4 linked regions of the Caenorhabditis elegans genome follow. The protein of the gene in region 3 interacts with the protein of the main gene of each other region in a pairwise test. Each region holds a gene or a part of one and is shown on either strand. Other genes may lie near its edges. The genes, in order: dcp-66, K03B8.4, ceh-18 and ceh-54.

Evidence for each region.
Region 1: the proteins of ceh-18 (region 3) and dcp-66 interact in a two-hybrid assay, tested with the Caenorhabditis elegans proteins (one large-scale study listed by BioGRID).
Region 2: the proteins of ceh-18 (region 3) and K03B8.4 interact in a two-hybrid assay, tested with the Caenorhabditis elegans proteins (one large-scale study listed by BioGRID).
Region 4: the proteins of ceh-18 (region 3) and ceh-54 interact in a two-hybrid assay, tested with the Caenorhabditis elegans proteins (one large-scale study listed by BioGRID).

The regions. Positions count from the first base shown.
Region 1 is NC_003279.8:7,536,130-7,543,846, reverse strand, and holds the start of dcp-66 (Transcription factor dcp-66), read left to right. Parts: upstream 1-1,687; 5' UTR 1,688-1,835; coding exon 1,836-1,844; intron 1,845-2,199; coding exon 2,200-2,868; intron 2,869-3,189; coding exon 3,190-3,812; intron 3,813-4,345; coding exon 4,346-4,544; intron 4,545-4,587; coding exon 4,588-4,672; intron 4,673-5,261; coding exon 5,262-5,383; intron 5,384-5,679; coding exon 5,680-5,814; intron 5,815-5,858; coding exon 5,859-6,075; intron 6,076-6,238; coding exon 6,239-6,354; 3' UTR 6,355-7,717. UniProt on the Caenorhabditis elegans protein: Transcription factor which binds to the 5'-CCATACATTA-3' motif found in the promoter region of pgp-12 and activates its expression in the excretory cell.
Region 2 is NC_003283.11:11,394,251-11,397,032, forward strand, and holds K03B8.4 (uncharacterized protein), read right to left. Parts: upstream 875-2,782; coding exon 765-874; intron 717-764; coding exon 536-716; downstream 1-535. Other genes in the region: Zinc metalloproteinase nas-18, read left to right, coding at 2,184-2,348, 2,747-2,782.
Region 3 is NC_003284.9:3,854,771-3,859,690, reverse strand, and holds the start of ceh-18 (Homeobox protein ceh-18), read left to right. Parts: upstream 1-1,893; 5' UTR 1,894-1,947; coding exon 1,948-1,993; intron 1,994-3,324; exon of another isoform or gene 3,325-3,325; coding exon 3,326-3,471; intron 3,472-4,920. UniProt on the Caenorhabditis elegans protein: Directs gonadal sheath cell differentiation and function. Also directs gonad migration and plays a role in specifying the differentiated phenotypes of epidermal cells during postembryonic development.
Region 4 is NC_003284.9:6,191,066-6,195,892, reverse strand, and holds ceh-54 (Homeobox domain-containing protein), read left to right. Parts: upstream 1-1,651; coding exon 1,652-1,666; intron 1,667-3,535; coding exon 3,536-3,790; intron 3,791-3,840; coding exon 3,841-3,988; intron 3,989-4,040; coding exon 4,041-4,288; downstream 4,289-4,827. Other genes in the region: T13C5.9 (DUF282 domain-containing protein), read right to left, coding at 4,770-4,827.

The sequences.
Region 1 (7,717 bases), on a different chromosome or scaffold from region 3:
AGTGTTCAATCAACACCGAATTTAGATTCAGCTCCCGACGTGGGGAGAGTGGTTGCGATGTTGGCAGAGCAAGTAGGACATGATGATTAGACGTTTGAGCATATTCAGTTGGACAGCTGCTGCCGTCTTGGCACCACCTATATTGAATCCCAGTTGGGGTCAGGTTCGGGCCGTGTGAGATGGAAAGAGAGAGAGAAAGTAGGGAGAGAGTGAGTGTGTGCGTTTTGTGTGTGTGAGGGTGTGTGTGTGTGTGTGTGGCCGAGTGTCATTGTTCGAGTAGAATGAAGCGAAACAAGAAATAATCGATTGACTTATGTGTCCTCCTCCGCCTTCCTTCATCTTCTTCGTCCGTCCGTCCCCGTCCGTCCACGCACCCTCAGCCGCTCCTAGTGGTTTTCAATCTTCATCCTAGTCTTCATCAGCATCATCGTCGCCGTCATCTCAATTTGTTTCTCACGCGCTTAATGTTTGTATTTGTGAATGTGCCAAGTACTACCACCGTACTTGTCGGTGCAAGACACCACCATTTTAGTGTGTTCTAGAACATTTTGTAAGAGAAAAGAAGTCCACAGCTCTTCCAAATCTATTCCAAATATATTACTTTCAGGACTGAATTTTCGCTAACATGGTTTTTGGTGGATTACCGTTTCATGAATTCCAGACTATCCTAGGTTAAATTTACGGAGACTTCACCTAGTTGCGTATCTCCAACCTAATTATGATCCTTGAACCAATAATTTTGTATTGTTTCTCTAGCCTGCAGTACAAAATTAGTTAAACCTCATAGTTTCGAAATTGGTATTTTCACAAAATTCGCCACATTGTATTTTTCTTTAACTATAAAAATTCTACGATATTACCATCTGCATTGCACACAAAAAACATTCTTTTCCAATACTGTGACTTTAAAGGGGGTGACCATTTATTCGAAATGGTCCCGCCACGCGCTCTAGCGTGGCGAGACCATTTCACAAAAATGCGCTCTCCTTTAAAGTCGCAGAAGTGTAGAAATTTTTTTAAATTTTTTTTCGAAAAAAAAACACTGTTTGTGTCGTTTCTTGTTGACCTCTGCTTCACTAAACGATTTTTGAATAAAGATTTGTTCTTTAGTAGATTCTGACCACAAAGAACCCAGAAACCTGTGAATATTTCCAAATATCAGTATCTCAAAATTGCTCTAATCTTAAATTGTTTTGTATGGAGTTTCGCGAATCTTTCCAGTACGGCCTAAGCAAAACTAGCAAAACTAGAAAAAGAGTTCAACTCTCCACCACGGGAAATATGAATAACTCTTGGAAAAATTGACACGAAAGTAGTGTGGTAAAGTAAAGTAGAAAGTAGAAAGTAGGTGGCTTTTGATGAGTTGTAGATGATCACGTTCATCAAACATTTCAAAAGAAAAAAAAACTTAATTTTTCCCATGATCATCTCAACCTCCTTCCCTTTTTTTCCCTAATAACATTTTGCTTTTTTCTCTCACTATCTGCGTATCTTCTTTCTATCATCATTCCCCATTTTCTCTGCGCTCTCTTCTCTCTCTTATTGCTTTTATATTGGGTGAAATGATGTGACGTCACACGGACACCACCTCGTTTTGGATATTCAAATCTTTTGTTTTACTAATCTGCGTCTCTTTCTTACACTACACTATAAGTGCCGGTGACATTATAATTTCAACTTTTATTCCAGAACAAACTCAACACTAACTGATTGCTGTTGTTCTCTTGGACTCCAATGCAAGCTCTCGACGAACGGTGTTAATCGATTTTTATTTTGCTCCGCTCCACTTGAGTTTTGACTGGATTCCATTTATTTAGTATTTATATACAATAAATATGGCACAGGTAGGTGTTTCTATTTACAGTTATATTAAACGAACTCAAAAAATATTTCGTGTTTGGAATATTCAAATTTAATATTTATTATGTCAAGTAATTTTCATTAAAAATGGGGTAGCGAGTTCGATCAATCTAAATACTAAAATTAAAACTTACTGAATTCCGAATTCAGTTCACAAAAAATAACAAATTTTGGAGAAGACTGAAGGTTTACCCTAATAAATGAGAAAATAAGCATTTTCAGTCTATTTTTGGACAGTTTTAGTGTAATTTTAAAATTTTTGCTACCTCAAATTTAGTTGAAAATTAGAATCTTAATTGAAAAAATTCGAATAACTTTTTAAACCCAATGTTTTTAAAGGTTCAACAAGTTCCATCGTCACCTATGAATGGGATTCCTGAAAAGAATGGAAATGGTTTGAGTATCGAAGAATCAGCTTCAACAGCCGTCGCTGCACTTGCACATATTCAAAATGGAGCTGTTCTATTTCATGGAACACCTACAAAAGATTTGAATGGAGCTTCAACATCAATCGATACCGATGATTTACAACTTTCACCGAGTGATCTACGGCGGCGGAGTACACGAGCAAGTGCTCTGAAGGCTCAGGAAAAGATTAAACTGAAAGATGATATTGTACAAGGACCACAAAAACGGGCGAATGATGATGATGATATGGAAGATGAAGAGTTGGGAGATGAAATTAATGAGCAATCAGCTCCAAAAAAAAGAAGACTCGAAAATGGAAAAGAGTTTGATCAAACATGTTTCCGATTTGGACTTCGTGCGAATAATGAAGGTGAAGTATACGCAATGACTGATGAGAGTGAAAATTCTTCAATTCATGAAAGTGAAATGGAAGTTGTGAGGTATCATTATGAAAAAATGAAGAATAAGGAACCGGATGAGGAACAATTAAGAGAACGTTTAAATATGAGAAGAGAAGCTGAAAATCAGTTACGAGAAGAAGAGGCAAAATTGCTAGTTTTGAGAAAAATGAAGGATAGTCAGACAAGAGCTATCACCAAGGTTCGTTTTCTTCACTATTCGAGAAATAAAAACGCCAATTTTAGATAAAAGTGTAACTTCACAAATAGTTTAAAAAAATTTTCATCATAAAACTCGCAAAAATTCCGGATTTTTGCCCTGAGAGAATTGTAGTTAAATTTTCGGCGAGTTATGATCTGAGAATAGGAAATGCTTCAAGTTTTATGCTGATAAAATGTTTCATTCAAAAAACACACATTTTCAAAAAAACCGACAAAAGTGAAGGAAACTCTTTGTGAAACTGAAATCTGTATGAAATAAAAATAAATGATCAAAACTTTTTTGTATTAATATTTTTTCCAGCTGGCCGCCGAAACTAAAGCTGCTGATCTTGCTGAAGCGACATCTGCAGCATATAAACCAGCGGTTGCTACAAATGGAAAATCTGTTACTAATGGAAAGAATTCGATGATTGAGTCAAATAACAAAACAATGAATGGACTTAAGAATCTTTCAATTCCACAACAACTCGAATTACTTCAAAAACTATCATCTCAATCACCAGCTGCCAAACAAGCATACATTATGGCAAAGAAGAATCCAGCACAAACGACTCAACTATTCCAACAACTGATTACAATCAATAATCAAAATCTTCAAAAGCAAAAAGAGCTTTCTGCTGCTGAAACAAATGCTTCTGCATCTGCATCACCTGCAGTACAACAATCTCAACAAGCACAGCAACCACAACAGGCTCAAATCACACAATCAAAACTTCTAAATCAACAGACACCTGCACAAAGGATACAAGCAGCTCGGCTGGCTTTCAGAGCTCAAGCTGATAAGCAATTGACAACAATTCCAACACAAAAAAGTCAACCTCATGATATCACTTTCCTACCGAATCCGAATGCTTCTGCATTCCTGGCATTGCATGGATTGGATCTAGTGGTTCAGCATGTTCTCAAAGATAGATCTAATGAGACGTGAGTTTTTTTTCAAACTATGATTTGTTAAAACACATTGTGATCACGGGTGTCGTCGAAAAAATGTGGAGACTTTTTCAGAAATATTCGGAAAAATTGTTGAGAAAATTAACAGACAATTTCAACAATTTGTTTATTTTGATTTACTTTTTTATAAAACAGGAAAAATTACCAACGTTTGAAAATTTTTAGATTTTTGGTTTTGATCAAAAGCGAAAAACGAACGCTTTACGGTTTCAGAAAAACTGAATATTTCAGAATCATTTCCGGAATTACTTTTTCTGTTCCGGCTCGTATCACATTTCATACAAACAGTCAAAATTTCAAAAATTGTTGAGTTTTAGGTTTTTGAGCCAAACTGAAAATCGAAACACGAACATTTATAGAGTTTTCGGTTTCCTGTAAACGAAAAAAAATCAGACCGGACTTTAATTTCTCAAAAAATGTTTGATAATTGCATTAGAAACTAAAAACCTCGAAAGTTTTAATGTTCAAAATTGAAATGTTTTCATTAAAAAAAAAATTATATTCAGACCATATGCCGGACCATCATACGAATGTGAAGAATGTAAAACCGAATGTGCTCACACTTGGAAAGCTATTGGAAGTACACAAGATGATCTTCATCTTTATTGTGAAAATTGTGTACGATCAGCACAAAAAAGGAAAAATCGAACAGATCAGACAGCTTTATTGAAGAGAGCTTTCCAGAAGATTACGGCACAAGAAAAGGTATTTATTTCGAAATTTAACTGATTATTAAACGAATTAAAAGTTATTACAGGAGTTCGAAAAGAAAATTGCCGAAGGACAATTGGAGCAGTACGCAGAAGCAAAAGCTGCAGCACCTGCTACATCTCGTTAGTTTTATTATTTGAAAGTTAAAATAGTAATATAAAAGTATAAAAATTGTGTCCGCTATCTGAAAAAAAAACTAAAATGATCTAAATCATATTAAAATTATGAAAAGAATTAGTTTTGAAAACTATAGATCTTTGCACTAACTACAAAAAATAGGGTTTTTGTATATCATAATTTAAAAAAAAACCAATTATATAATTTTAAATAAAATTTCCAAACAAATTTTTTCCGACAATTCTTCAATTTGAAAAATTTTAATACAAATATTTTCCTTTTTTTACAAATATTTTGCTAATCTATAGTTTTTTCTTCTTTCAAAAAAATTTCGTCATTTTTTCCCGATTTTTCGACTTTCAAAAACGCAATATTTCTGTTTTTCGGTTTTTAAAATTTTCTCTGAAAAACTCTAAAAAATCGAAATTTTTTAGACGACGATCGACGCCTAAAGTCATTGTCACATTAATAGTTGAACAGTTTAATTCCAAAAAGTTGGGACTAATACACACGTATTTTTAAAAATCGTTGTATTGCTGTTAAAAACTTTTTAAAAAAATTCAAATTCCCCGATGCGAATAAAATTAAATTCAGAAACAATACCAACATCATCAACAGCAACTGTTTCATCAATTCCACTTGTACCACGATTACCACAAATTCCATCATCAACTGGATCAAGTACACCAACACAAGCAGTCAAGACGTCAACACCGGTTAGATTTTTATTTTCAAACCAAATAATTCAAAATTGAGGAATATACCTGGGAAAATATTTTTTACAGTTAAAAAAGTTCAAAATACAACATTTCCAAAAAGACATATATTTTATGAGCTTTTTATTAAAAATTTATAACATTTCGCAATTTTCTAAATTCGTGTATAATTTTTTCATGCAAACAGAAGAAAATAGGCATTGAAGAAGCTTGATGTTACTTTAAAAAATTAGTATTTCTAGACATTTTAAGTAATATCAAAAGTTAGGAAAAAACAATTAATTTTGAATTTTCAGATACACTCGACACCAAAATCATCAAGTTCAAGTGCAAAGAAGACTGCAGCACAATTGCAACAACAAAGTATGCAAGGAATGAATCAATTATTCAGTACAGCAATGTTGAGAAATAATCCTCAAATGCAACAAATGGTATCACTTTTTTTTGAAATTTCAAAAAATAAATCCTTTTCCAGTTGCAAATGTACCAAGCTTTAGCTATGGGAGGAGGGGCGGCAAATATGGCAAATAATCAAATGGCCATGCTATTCCAAGCACAAGCAATGCAAGCTGCTCAGGCTCAAGTCGCACGAGCTCAGGCGGCAAAAGCTCAGGCTGCACAAGCTCAGGCCGCACAGGCTCAAGCCCAGGCACAGGCAAATAGAGAGGCGAATCAACAATCAATGCTAATTCGTAAGTGTTTTTTGGGCGATTTTGTGAAAGATTTAGAACATTAAAAATTGTTTATTACGAGATTAGAAAGAAAAAATTGTGATTTTCCATTGTTTTCTGGTTGGAATATTAACATTTCAATCTACAAAATTGATCGAAAAGAAATAAGTTTTAAACATTTCAGAAGCTCTCATGAGTAATGGTCAAGTGAATGTTCAAGCTCTCCAACAACTTCAAAAACTGACACCTGAACAACAGAAAGCGCTGATCGAAGTTGTCAAACGTCAAACGAGGAAGTGAAAATTTCAAACTTTTTTCGGTTTCTTCAATTGATATTTTATTTCTACTTTTCCTCTATCCACTACCGACAACATAACAAAACTTGTTTCTGATTGAAATCCGGGTTGTTTTTGTATGATTTTTTGTATTCAAATATGATTTCTCGGCATCTCTCTCCCTCTCTTTCTCCTACACTTTTTAAAAATTTCCTTTTTGCAAAATTCAGACGAAGTTTCGAGAAAATCTGAAAATCCACGTGCTTTTCCATCACGGTCATTCTCCATTTTCCTGTAATCATATTCCCATCGCTTTGATTATTTTTATTTCCACAATCGCCACCCCCACCCCCACTATTATCGATTAGTATCCCTAACTTGTAACTTCCAAAAAATTGACGGTTTGTACCAAATATGCTTCTTCTCTTATAGTCTTGATTTTGCTCACTTTTTTTGATATTTCAATTTCAGTGATGTTCAAAGTTCAGATTATATTTGAAGAAGTATACATCTTTAATTCCAAAATTAGAGGGTGTTGAGTTTTTTTTCTAAAACTATCGAACGGATGTGGTTTTATAATTTCTAAATTAAATAACTATTTCGCTTTCTTTTTCCCTTAATTTCCCCCTCTCTCGTTCATATTTAACTTATTCTTAAACCGTTTTTTCTTTTCCTCTATCCACTACCGACAACATAACAAAACTTGTTTCTGATTGAAATCCGGGTTGTTTTTGTATGATTTTTTGTATTCAAATATGATTTCTCGGCATCTCTCTCCCTCTCTTTCTCCTACACTTTTTAAAAATTTCCTTTTTGCAAAATTCAGACGAAGTTTCGAGAAAATCTGAAAATCCACGTGCTTTTCCATCACGGTCATTCTCCATTTTCCTGTAATCATATTCCCATCGCTTTGATTATTTTTATTTCCACAATCGCCACCCCCACCCCCACTATTATCGATTAGTATCCCTAACTTGTAACTTCCAAAAAATTGACGGTTTGTACCAAATATGCTTCTTCTCTTATAGTCTTGATTTTGCTCACTTTTTTTGATATTTCAATTTCAGTGATGTTCAAAGTTCAGATTATATTTGAAGAAGTATACATCTTTAATTCCAAAATTAGAGGGTGTTGAGTTTTTTTTCTAAAACTATCGAACGGATGTGGTTTTATAATTTCTAAATTAAATAACTATTTCGCTTTCTTTTTCCCTTAATTTCCCCCTCTCTCGTTCATATTTAACTTATTCTTAAACCGTTTTTCTCTCCTTTTTCTGAATGTTCTTAAGACTTAGCGTCGTCATCTATTCATGTGATTTTCTTCTGTTTTATGAAAATTGCCCTTCTCTCGTGCAAAACGTTCCATTTTTGATAATCAGAAATGTTTTC
Region 2 (2,782 bases), on a different chromosome or scaffold from region 3:
GCGACTAGGCTACTGTCTCGCGATCTAGTCGCACAATTTTCGCGCGCCGAGCGCATTTCTTTCGCACACACTACGCGCCCGGTTCGATTTTATTCTCGCTCCCGCCGATTTTCATATTGAAATTGAAATCTTAGATTAATAAGAATTGCATTTATTACAACAACGAACAATGGAAAAACAATTAAAAAATAAATTAACAGATTGAAGACAGCTTGGCTGCAGGCCAATTGATCCCTAGACGGCGGGAGACTGGTGTTGCTGATCATCATCCTCTCTGAAAAGCTCAAATTAATCTATTTAATTAAGTCAGTATATTGAAAAAATCAATGAAATATCTTTAAAAATAGACTTACACAATTATGCCCGTGAAACGGCAACTAGAGCAACCTATTGCTTCAAAAATGTTTTGATCAAAAGCTACGTATTTGCAAATATGTAGCTTCGCATCTTCAAAGCTCAAAAATAGTCTCATCAATTTTTTGTTACTTAATTTAATTCAAAGTTATCATTTCATGGTTTCCTATATGTCATTTTGTTATTCGTTTAATATTTTACATTGTTTTACTAGCTGGTTTTCTTTAGCAATAATTCGTTTTTTCTTTACCTGTTTTGAGTCCACATACTTCTTCTTTTTTGGCAATGGAGCCTTAATTTGATCGAACACCAAGATTTGCTCCAATTCATGTCGCTTCTGGTTCACCTTTTGGAACATGTATCTGAAAAAAAACTTTTTAATTTCTAGAACCCCCGAAAAACATTAATACCTTTGAACTCCTTCCTCTGTTTCAGGTCTCACGTAGGATTCAGCGAATCTTTCGGCTTCAAGATCCCCGCTCAGCTCGTTCATAGTCTTCAGGTCCGAATTCTGGCTCATCACCCAGCTTTTGATGAATTCTGCGGGCTCGGTGTAGAATCTTGCGTAGAAATCGCGGCGAGCCTTCAGTTCGTTGATCTGTTCGATAATATCATAACACTTTTGATCAAGAGTTATATCATTCCATAAATCACTTTCATTAATCTCATTCTATTCACTCTGGAATAGCAGGAGCCGCAGGCTGCTCATCGAGAAGTGGTGTTTCTCGAACATAAGCCAATTTTGGACGGATTGTCGTTCGTGTTGCGCGAACGGGGCGCGGAAGGGGTGCGGAAGGAGTGCGGAATGGGCGCGGATGGGGCGCGGTCAGAACGCGGACGGCGTGCAAAAACAGTTTCTCTTCGCGAACCTGTTACTTTCAGACAGCCTCATTGCCAAAACAGGTTGATATATATATATATATATATATATATATATATATATATATATATATATATATATATATATATATATCTCTTCACTTATATGTTATATATGTATGAATGATGTAGTTGATATATAATAATTGCCAATCTAGTCTCTTTCAGCTTTCAGTAATATGGTGCCACAATACTAAACGTATAAAATACAACAACGAGACATGTGATCTAGAAAATTAGTTTGAAGATGTTCACACAAACTACACATATCTTTTATATCTTTCTATTGGAAAATATACCTGGCATTTAGGGGCAACTTTCTTAGGAATGTGTGCATCGTGCCTCCACAATGCCAATGCTGCGAGTTTCCTAATGGAGACATTCTCAAGACATCGCCTTAACTTTATCTGCATAGGTAAAATGAACATATTTTATAACGTAACATCATTAGATAACAGTACGATTATTGATAGATTTTAATACAATTTCCTTGTAAGATGAACCATATTGTTCTCTTCTAACCTCATATCAGAATTTAAATTGAAGTTTTGGTTTTTCAGTAACTAGCATGGCTGCAAAACGTTTACAATTAACGTATAGAACAAACACAATTCACTTTTGTGTGAAAATATGTCTCAAAGCAATAATATGTTCGCAAGAAATTGATTAATACATCTTATGTAGACACTTTGGCAGTTTCAGAATACTCTTTTCACAATCCGAGCGCGCCTGTTCCGCACTCCAGTCACGCCCTATCCTCGCGCCAGGCGCATTTCACCTCTTTTCGCGCGCCAGTCGCACCCCCTTCGCGCCCCAGGAGGAGCCAACTACCGAGTAGTGCAAAATTATTATATTGCTTTGATTCTTCATTCAGTAAGTTCTATTATATTTTGAAGTAGTGAAATACAACTTATAAACATGTACTTTGAGGTACTGAAAAGCGAGAATTGATGCTTTTCTCCATGAACTTCATATCTTCACAAACTTGCGTGACTTTTGAAGAAAACTGTTCAATTCCTAACAGGGTCCAACTTGTTAACGGTAAAGGCTGTTCATCATACATTGGGATGAATAACATAGTACAACATCTAACATTTAACGATACGTGCATAGACGTGAGTTTTTCTTTCATTTCGACATACATATGTATATTTCCGTTTCTCGGCGTTCACGACCAACTTAATGTTTATGTGTTGCCTTAACAGTGTGAAAAAAGTGGATTATTTTCTGGTAGTGGTGGGCATTTTCTAGAAACTGCAAACTATTTCCAACTAAATCAATCATTCATTTCAAGTGATTCAAGGAAAACGTATCACTTTATATTTGTTGAGGTCAAAAGTTAGACCAGAAGTTACCGGGAATGTCAAGATAATTGTAATGCATTGAAAATGTTTTTTTTTTTTGGAAAGTTTTCGATGACAGGTACAGAAAACAATTTTTCAAAACTCGAAAATTTTCCAAACACGGCACACCGAAAGAATGATAGACAGATCTCAATCACATAAACTTTCAGTTTGGAACTGCTGTTCATGAATTAATGCATGCATTA
Region 3 (4,920 bases):
CGCTTTCCACGCGCCCCTTCATTTTTCTCCGCCATTCACCAACTTTTTTATTCATTTTTCCTTGGGACCATGCAACGACTACATACATGTCCACCACGACTTCATTGTGATTATTCATAGAGCCATTTGGCTTTTTGGGGGGAGCCGGCCAAACGGCATTCTTTCGCTTGCATAGGCAAATGTCGTATATCCAGAGTGTCAGCAGGGCAGGAGCAGCGCTAGAAGCACCGTCGTTTCAAATCGACGCCATCTAATATGCATATTTGAACAACTGCGCGGTTTTGCCCACAGATCTGGCCGCCGCAATGCCTTTTTGCCTTTTACTGGCTAAACATGAATCCGACCAGTGCGATCATCCACATTTCCTCGTTTTACAGTACAGCTGAAAACAAAAAAAGATAATGGAGCTTTTGAAGGAATGGGGACTTTGTAGGAAAAGATAATAGATAATCAAGAGAAGTACATCACGTTTCGAATTGCCTCAACTTTAGGGCTCATGTGTCAATGCTCATTTCGTTAAGCTGATGACCTCTCGATATCGCATCTGTTTCTCCATGTTTCATTCATACTACTACCTATTCTCCGTCTTATCCCTTTTTCCTTCCCAATTCTTTGTCTCTTTCTTGCCAAACAGAACAACACCTCCCGAATCAACATTTTATCCCCCCACAATCAATCACTCAATAAAATCCATCAAAAATCTTTTGATAATCAAAAATGCCTCGGTGCCTGACTGCCGAACAAGCCGGCGGGGCGTCGTCTTTTTTGTTAGCAGTTGTGTTGTCTGTCATCCTACGTAATTTTGTGAAGACTCGAATTCATGAGCCAAGTGGTGCTCAAAAGACTAGGTAATGAATGTGTAGTGTAATGGCCGGGAAGAGTGAGCCTCATACACAAGATATCATATCATCTTATCTCCAAGATGTATTTCGAAGAATCTTTTTTGAATATTTCACATTCTCCATTTTTACAGAGCTAACTGTTTTTTCAGCTTCAACTAGAAATTTTCTCAACAGTGAGAATGCAAATACTTTCAGAAAATGATGTGTAAGTGACAAACATAGGCACTCTCGGAGCTACAGAACCAATTTCTCTTCTTATCATATGCAAATTTGGCGTTTTTTAATACTCTAATGTGTTATTCAAAGCTTATCAGTCAAATTTTCTTTATGATCTCATACAGTTCGGCAACATCGAAGTTTAAATTTCAAATTAGGACGCGATAGATTTTACCCTAGTTTCGTTCCTAGATATTAGAATAACTTAGATAATAGAAGAAAAGTGATGCGAAAAACAGGGACTCGAAAATTGTTTTAAACAAAGTGTCCTATGCGAAATTCACTTCATTTCTTTTATTTTTCTCTTCCTCTCCCACATTTTTCGTCGAGAGCTATCATAACAAGAAGAGCTGAACGCGATGCAGCAGTAGCCGCAGAAAAATCAGATCGAATCATTAGGCGCATGCGACAATTGGCTGAAAAATACTGAGACACAAGTCGCACTAGAACGCTTGGCTGTCAGCTAGTTAGGTGCCGCTCGGCTTTTCCTCCCCACCCCGAGAGTGGTTGATTTTATGCCAATATTACAACTTCTAGGGTGGCTCATTTTCCTGAATCGCCGATGCGATCACCCTCGTCGGCAATGAGTGGCCCCCACGCGTTTCGCTTGATCCATGCCGCCGATTTGCTCACATGAAACACATTCTTCATTTTCTTTTCTCAATTGACGGAATATTACATTTTGTTTATCTCGATTCTCTTTTCTCAGTCAATCTTTTCTGATTCGTCATACCTTCATTCACCTTCCAGCTTATACAGTTTCGATTTATTTTTAATTTTCATCTATCAAAACCACATTCTCTGTCGGTCTTATCCAACAGTGTCTCTGTTTCAGACGTAAAAAGTCTCTATCATCATCCTCACAACACATATCATCAATGCAAGAAATATGAACACCTTGGAGAACACGTTTCAATTTCTCGCAGAAGTATTCGGTAGGTGATGCTTTATCAATATCCGTTTCTTTTTCTAATTGTCGACTCTTCGGAGTCTGGTCACAAATCAAGCGCGTTGCTGTAATAATTCATTTTGACTGATTTTCGTGAAAAGCTAATGACAACGGTATGTTATAGGCGATGATTGTCTACCTGGACGCAACAATTTTTTAAAAATGTTGGTCAGATGCTCTTTTTTTGCAGTTTTAAAATCCAAATTCACTTGTGTAAAAAAAAAAAAAAATTAGGCGTTTTTCAAAAATTGTATGGGTTTTTTGATGAAAAAGTGAAACTTTTTGCACTTTTGAGCAAAACAGTTTTGTTGGGTTTTTTCTTGTTTTTTGAGCCTGAAAATGAAATATATGTACATTAAGAAACTAATTCATGTGTATACTAAAATCGAAATGGTATGTATAAAATAATTAAATATTTTTTGGAGTAGCAAACTCAAAATTATCAACTTTAGTTTTAACAACTCCAGAAATAACTTTTGAGAAAATAAGGGTCAAAAGTTTTTTTGAATTTTTGAATGCATTTTTCTGTATAGAAAATTGTCAGAAATTCAAAAAATTATAATACTTGCAAAACATTAAAATAAATTTTGGATACTCGATATGAAATCACTTCAGACAAAAATTAATTTCCAATGTTACGCTACCAGCTTTTCAAAAAAATTGTAAAAATTTAAAGTTTGACGGTAAACATTTTCCAAAACTCATTTACACTTAAAAAGCGGTTTCATAGCGCTAAAAATTTTACAGTAAACATTTTGAAAGAATTTTCAATTTTTTTACAGTCAAAGAGTGGTTAAAATTTAGTTTTGACCTAACATTTTGAAAACATGTATGTAAGTGTAGCAATGCTCAAATGTTTTTCTTGAATTTTCACCAAAATAATTATGGAGTGTTCTATTTTGATATTCGGCCATCTTAGAGTATTATAAAAATTGTTAGAATGAGTTATTTGACAATTACATTCACTGAAACGTTGATCAGTTATTAAATACTGTAAGTTGATTTGTAGAACAATGTACACAAAATAAGTAACTCCAAATTATCAATTAAAAGTTTATCATTTCATTGAAAAATCACAGTAGTGAAAGTACTATCAAAACTTGATCTATTGATCACCGTTCCGTGTGTCCTTATTTTCGCGTTCCACTACTTACACAGATTAACTCAAGTTCAGCGTCGTTGATGTTAGCTTTCGAAAAAAAAAACTTCTGCGCGAATTTGATTGGCATCGTGAAAATGAGATAACATGTTCTGATTGCTCAAAAAAGGAACTTTTCTGACTAGATGCTGCTCCATATTTCTTGTGCACATTTTTCAGAAGCCAATGGTGGTTGCCTTGTCACAGAACGTGTCAGTCCATCTTTGTCGGGAGCCAGCAAACGAAAAAGTCGACCGGTGAAGAGGATCATCACTGAAGACGAAGTAATCCCAGAAGAAGAAGTGGTCGAAGAAGAGGAAGAAGAGGTGAGTCTTTTGAAAACAAACTGCTTTCCAATTGGCTTTTAAAGTTACCTTTTTTCTCAAATACGTTTTTATTTGCAATCAGTGAAAAAAAAAATTTAAGCTGTTTCATAAAACTTTATATATACTAAAATGATTAAAAAAGCTATGAAAATAGTTATAAAATACCACACATCTAAATTAGTCAGTAATGTTTTTCCACTCTCATCGGACCCAAAATCAGACCTTTCCAATTCAACTCGGCCATCCCAGCCCATCGCATCCATTTGCTTTCTCAAGATGAAGCAGTGCAATGAAAGTGTGGGATAATGCAATAAAGGGGTGGCTAAAAAGGAAAAGAGATGCGGGTATCGAGATAAGCAGATTCGGGAGTTGGCCCTTGTTTATGATGTAGGACAAAACTAAAAGTAGGCAGAGGAGAAAGCCGAGCCGCGTCGTTCTGTGTTTTCAACTTTTCATATTGGTCCTTTTTTTAGGCGAAATCTTGGGAAATTTAGTGATTCGTCAAGATAAAAATTTTAATTTAAACTGTTAATTTACTGTTCTGGGCATGATCCTATTTTTTATCTTTAATCATCTTATTAGGGAAAAAACAATTTTTAGTTTTTAGTGCAAAATTCCAAACGAACCAGTTTGTTGCCTGTCTCAAAAATTACATTTTCAAATATGGATAAAAATTTAAACCATCGTCTTATTTAAAAAGTATTTTTTTAATTTATTTTTTAACATAGATTTTTACTGTTATTGTTAATGTGTACATATTATTTTATTTTACTCTTCTGTATCTAGAAATTCTGCATAGTTAATTTTAAGAAAGGGCTCGAAACAGTAAGATTAACATTTTTGAATAAATGTTCTAAATTTTATTTATTAGAACTTTTAATGTCTATTTTCATGACCGTTTCATAAAGAAATAACTAAAAAAATATCGTAAAAATAACTTTAGAAATTGATTCAACTAGATATTCCTTATCATTTTTGACCGAAAAGATATTTGGAAAAAACAGTATTGAGATGACGGTCGCTAACTATTTTCAGCGACTGCCACTGTATATAAACTGCTTCACTTTTTATACATACCTTTTTAGCACAAAAGTGTATTTTCTAATTACTAAAATTTGTTAAATTTCAAGCCTTTTCTTCTCACGTTTTCCAACTTTTCCCACGCTGTAAAAATTTTTTGTTTCGTAGTATTTTAATTTTGGATTAAGGTTCAGTCAGGTCATTTTATCATTTTTTTTTAATTAAAAAACAAAATTTTTGAATGTATTTTCAGTTCTTTTTTCCTTTACTTTTGTAATTAATTTTCATAACTTCTATATTCACATTGAAATTGTATCAAACTACAGCAGCTCTGAACATTTTTGAGCATCCTCAATTTTTTTTCAAAATTAGAGACCTCTGGAAATAAAGAAAGTAGGTTGGCTGACCCAATCATGCTGCAGCATTTTT
Region 4 (4,827 bases), 2.3 Mb from region 3:
AAACCGGAAAAGGAATGTGATTAAATAAAAATCAATTTCCGGCAGAGTATGACAAAATAGATGATTTTAGCAATCCTTACCACTTTTTTATTTTTCTGAAACCAAAAATTCAAAAAAATTTTCACGCGTCTTCAATTTTTTCCACTGAAAATTAATCTTGAAATAACTCTAAAAATTATGTTAAAATCTATAATGTGAAATTTAATATCTCAAAGTCTGTTTGAATTATGTAGTGCAATAAAAAAGCTTGCAACTCTACCATTTCGTTAAAAATATTCTTAATTGAACGCTTATTCTGTGCTTTTAAAATCTGATTTTAAATGTTATACATTTTGATTTTCAGATTTTGAAAAAAAAACTATTTTAGTATCAATTTTTTATTTCTCATTTGTCAGAGTTATTTTGAATAAGACAACGCAATACTTATTTTGTTGTGCAACATAAATAAGTATTTTAGTTTTTCTGGCGGTAAATAATTAATTTCAGGGAATACTTTTAATAGGCCACATTATCAATGGCTTCACTTCTGTTCATAGAATTTTCTAATGGGCGCTTGGTTTCACCAGAAACTAAAGGACTATTTCCTGTTTTCCCGCAATAGCCTAATTCCATCAAGCTCTTGCTCGTATATGCTCAACTTGAAATCTAATAAGCATATTCATCCACTTTCATAAATCATTACTCTGCTCATCAGCGTGGAGATTATGCTAATCGTCAAGGTTCATCGGATTGACATTTACTGCGGGAAAACCATTATGAAGACTAAAATGGAAACATCCGTGTTCTCTTTCCTCTTTTTTCACAGATCTTATAACCTTTGTAATTTAATCTGCAGTAAGCGCGAGACAATGAACATCCGAAAGTCGTTGTCGTCAAACTATAGCTTTAGTATGAAAATATAATATTTCGAATTTTTTGACTACATTATTACGAACACGTCCTAGTTCTGATCACACCTGTCACAGAGTGAATTCAGGTTAGAAACTACTTGCCTCGTGCCACTATTAGTACAAATTACCCCTTTTTGTTTCTCTATATGCTCTGAGATTTGCATGATATCTTCTGGTTTCAGTATAATTTTCAGCCAGATTCTTGAGCAAACCAGATTGGTATTATATACTGATGAATTTTTGCCATTTTTTAAAAGTATAAGATTTCCAGTGTTTTTTGAAAATTTTGTTTTTAAATGAAAATGTTTTTGAATAATCATTTGATTTTGTACAATATATATCAGCATCTCTTTATTAAAACAGATTAGAATTTCATAATATCTCGACAACTACTTCCGATGCTCACTCTTTTCGTGTGTTTTTGCTGTTCCGGAAACAGAAAGTTTCCGCTCACTTTGAATAAGCGCATTATCTATACTATTGGTGATAGGGAGATTACATAACACAGGATACGCCGTTGACGCCATTACACCTTGAAATAACATTATTGATCCCGTAATCCCACTATAAGCCTATATTTTTCTGACTTTTAGTTGACATTTTATTGTATGTAAATTTGTACGTAATAGACTTAAGGCGATCTTTTTGGTTTTTTTGGAGGATTAACTTTTTAATGAAATTTGTAATTTTATCTATTTGCTAAAAATCTAATAATTTTCAGTTTGTTCTTCTATTAATATTTGAAAATCAAAATTTTACAAATGGAGCAACTTAAGGTACGTTCTCACACCTTTATCAATAATTTTAAAGGTCAAGTATAGTCTGCGGGGAAATTATGAAAACTCATTTCTATAATGCTCGGTAGGCGTATGCGCACATTCCGCGCACTTTCCGCGCACATTCAGCGCACATTGCCCTTGGCGTGGCCATTTTCTCCACCGCTAGCCGTTTGAGCACTTTCCGCGCAGATTCTGGGCACATTGGTTTTGGTGTGTTTTTTCATCCAGAAATCATGCATTCTGAGCACATTCAGCGCACTTTCCGCGCACATTCAGTGCACATTGCCTTCGATGTGGCCATTTTCCCCACCATTAGTCTTTTGCGCATATTCCGCGCAACTTCCGCGCCGATTCTGCGCACATTGACTTAGATAATCTACAACTAATGCTCAATTTCTGCTTTCTAAATTATTATAGCATTGTTTAAATTTTATGTCCGAGTCTATATTTAATAGTATTTCTGATATTTGAAAATTAGAGCCAAGAGAAATGGTTTTAATAGTTCTCATTCAAAAACAAATCCGCGTATTGTTTCCAACCAAAAATTCATCAATAACGTTGTGAAACATTCATAGTTCGTTTTGAAATGATGCACATTCTCGACAGAAATAGTTGTAAAATACCAACAACGTCACTGTAGAGTTGAAATATGTTTTCAGAAATATTATATTTGGGTTAACAGGTTGTAAATATACGCCGTCTATCGTTATTGATTTACAACTGCATAATGTCCCACATTTTAAAAGTCAAAATTGTGATTCAAATTAAAAACTATATATCTAGATATGTGCTTACTATTATAGTTAGGGGGAAAATGTATACTGGAGAAGAAAGCGTTCAAATGTTTTCCCAGGAGTCAAATTGAAGAGGTTGTGAAGTTTTACAATCACACAAAGTCTCTTTTTGACCTGATTGAAAAATCAATTGTCATGTAGCTGTTGTAAAACTGAATTATCTGTGAATCTCTGGAAAGAATTCTAGAACAAAAAGTTCACTTAATTAGAGACTTCTAAATTACCATGAAAGTATAAAAATGCGCTGACATGATTTCTCTCTAGTAAAATAATCACATTAACGCTTAAAAACGGAAAAATACTTAATTCACATTTTTCCATAAATATGTGATTGAAAAACAAGTTCAAAAGCCAATGAGAAATCCTTTATTATTGAATTACTGTGCCAAAAATGCTTTATCGTTAGTTCTATGTTTCTCCATTGACTTTCTCATTTGCTTATATTTATGGCGCGTTAACTGCTATTAACATCGCATGCGTTATGTCTCAACAGGTAAGACTTCAGACTTTCAGGGAAAACATCACAGGTTCAATTCGCAGCAAGGACACTGGCAATCAAAATACACTGCAAGCGAAAGGCAGTGAAACACCACCACTCTGCATCATGAGCACATTCCGCGCACATTGCGTTTTGGTGTTCCTCATTTTTTAACTGCCCTGCATTATGCGCACATTCCGCGCACATTCTGAGCAGATTCCGCGCACATTCCGAGCGGATTAAAAACAAATGTATTAAACCGCTCGGAAAGTGCGCGGTATGTGCGCATACGCCTACCGAGTGGAAAAAGGACTAAACTTCATGCAAATATTTTAGACAAAAATTTTGGAAATGTTTTATTTCGACTCAAAAAGTGGGGAAAACTGGGTCAGTGCATTTTGTCGCGAAATCTGAAGCACTGTCGCTTTTTTGAATCCCTACAATTTCGGTCACCCCTTTTTGACTCAAAATAAAACATTTTCCAATCATTTTTGAATTTTTTTAAATGATATTTGGGCATTTTAGTGCCTAACTGAATGGTTTTTAGTCATTTCCCCCCTGGCCTTAGACAAAACTAAACATTTTGCATTTCAGAGTTTAATTTCGCCTTCACTGCAAGACATTTTGTGCAAAATTCAATTTAATGACACCCAATTTGAAACTACAAAAAAGATCACGCGAAAACGATCGAATAACTTCAATCCTGACAGAAAGAAACGGAACCGAATAACGTTTGATGCAAATCAAATCGATGAGATGGAAAAGGTGTTTGCAGAAAATCAGTATCCGGACACTATGAGCCGAGAAAAATTGGCAAACAAAATTCAACTTCACGAGGAGCGAGTTCAAGTGAGTTTCGATACTTTTGGAAGGCGTGAAGTTATATAAATAATTTTTAGATTTGGTTTCAAAATCGTCGTGCAAAGTATCGTCGAGAGCAGAAACAAACTGGCCATCCATACGAGCCACCTTCAATCACTAAAAATCCTACAGGTGAAAAAGAAAAAACTCAGGATTGCACTACTTTGACAAGTGCATCATCTCCAGGTAAATATCACATTTTTACAATTACACGTATTCACCTGGTTTATAAATTTAGGCCCTTCAAACCTATCTAATGATACTCTTGTTTCAATTGAAATGGCACCTAAAATTGGAACTAAAAGCGTCAATTTGTTCCCAGATCAGGCTCTTTCAAACACTCTGAACATGATCATCAATGCTAACAAAAATGCTTCGGAAAACAATTATGAATCCGAGGATCAATTCAATGCGGAAAGTGCGAAACTTTTAATGCTAACTCTTTCCAATTTATTCAGTTTGCAAAATGAAACCACTTGTGAATGATTTTATAAAGTTTCCGGAAGATATATGTGCTCAACCCAGCAAGTGTAAAAATTCAAAACTTAATATTTAAAAAACGGTAAAACAAATGCATTCTTAAAGGAGTATCAAAAATGAGGATTTTGTCTTAAAATGACACAAAAAGATAAATATCTGAACAAAACCCTCTGAAATGTTTCTGATTCTTCAAAAAAAAAACTTGTGGAAAAACTGGTTTTTTGCCGATTTCCAGAATAATGACGATTACTCAATAGTAATCGTCACTTTCTGATTGAAGAAAAAACTAACCAATCTTAATATATTTCACTACAATATGCGATCATTTCATTACGCCACTTCTTCATCAACTTCTCTGGAAAATTTCATGGTATTTGTGAACCACATTTGTTTTCTCCTGTATTGAAAACAATTTATTCAAAAGTTAATTATTATCAGCACTAAAATAAGTGAAATCTAAGGAATTCAATATTAGTCGTAAACTTATTTAACCACTTATAATTGGGCGACAGACTAAAGAAACCAATTGAAACTTTAAAAATTCA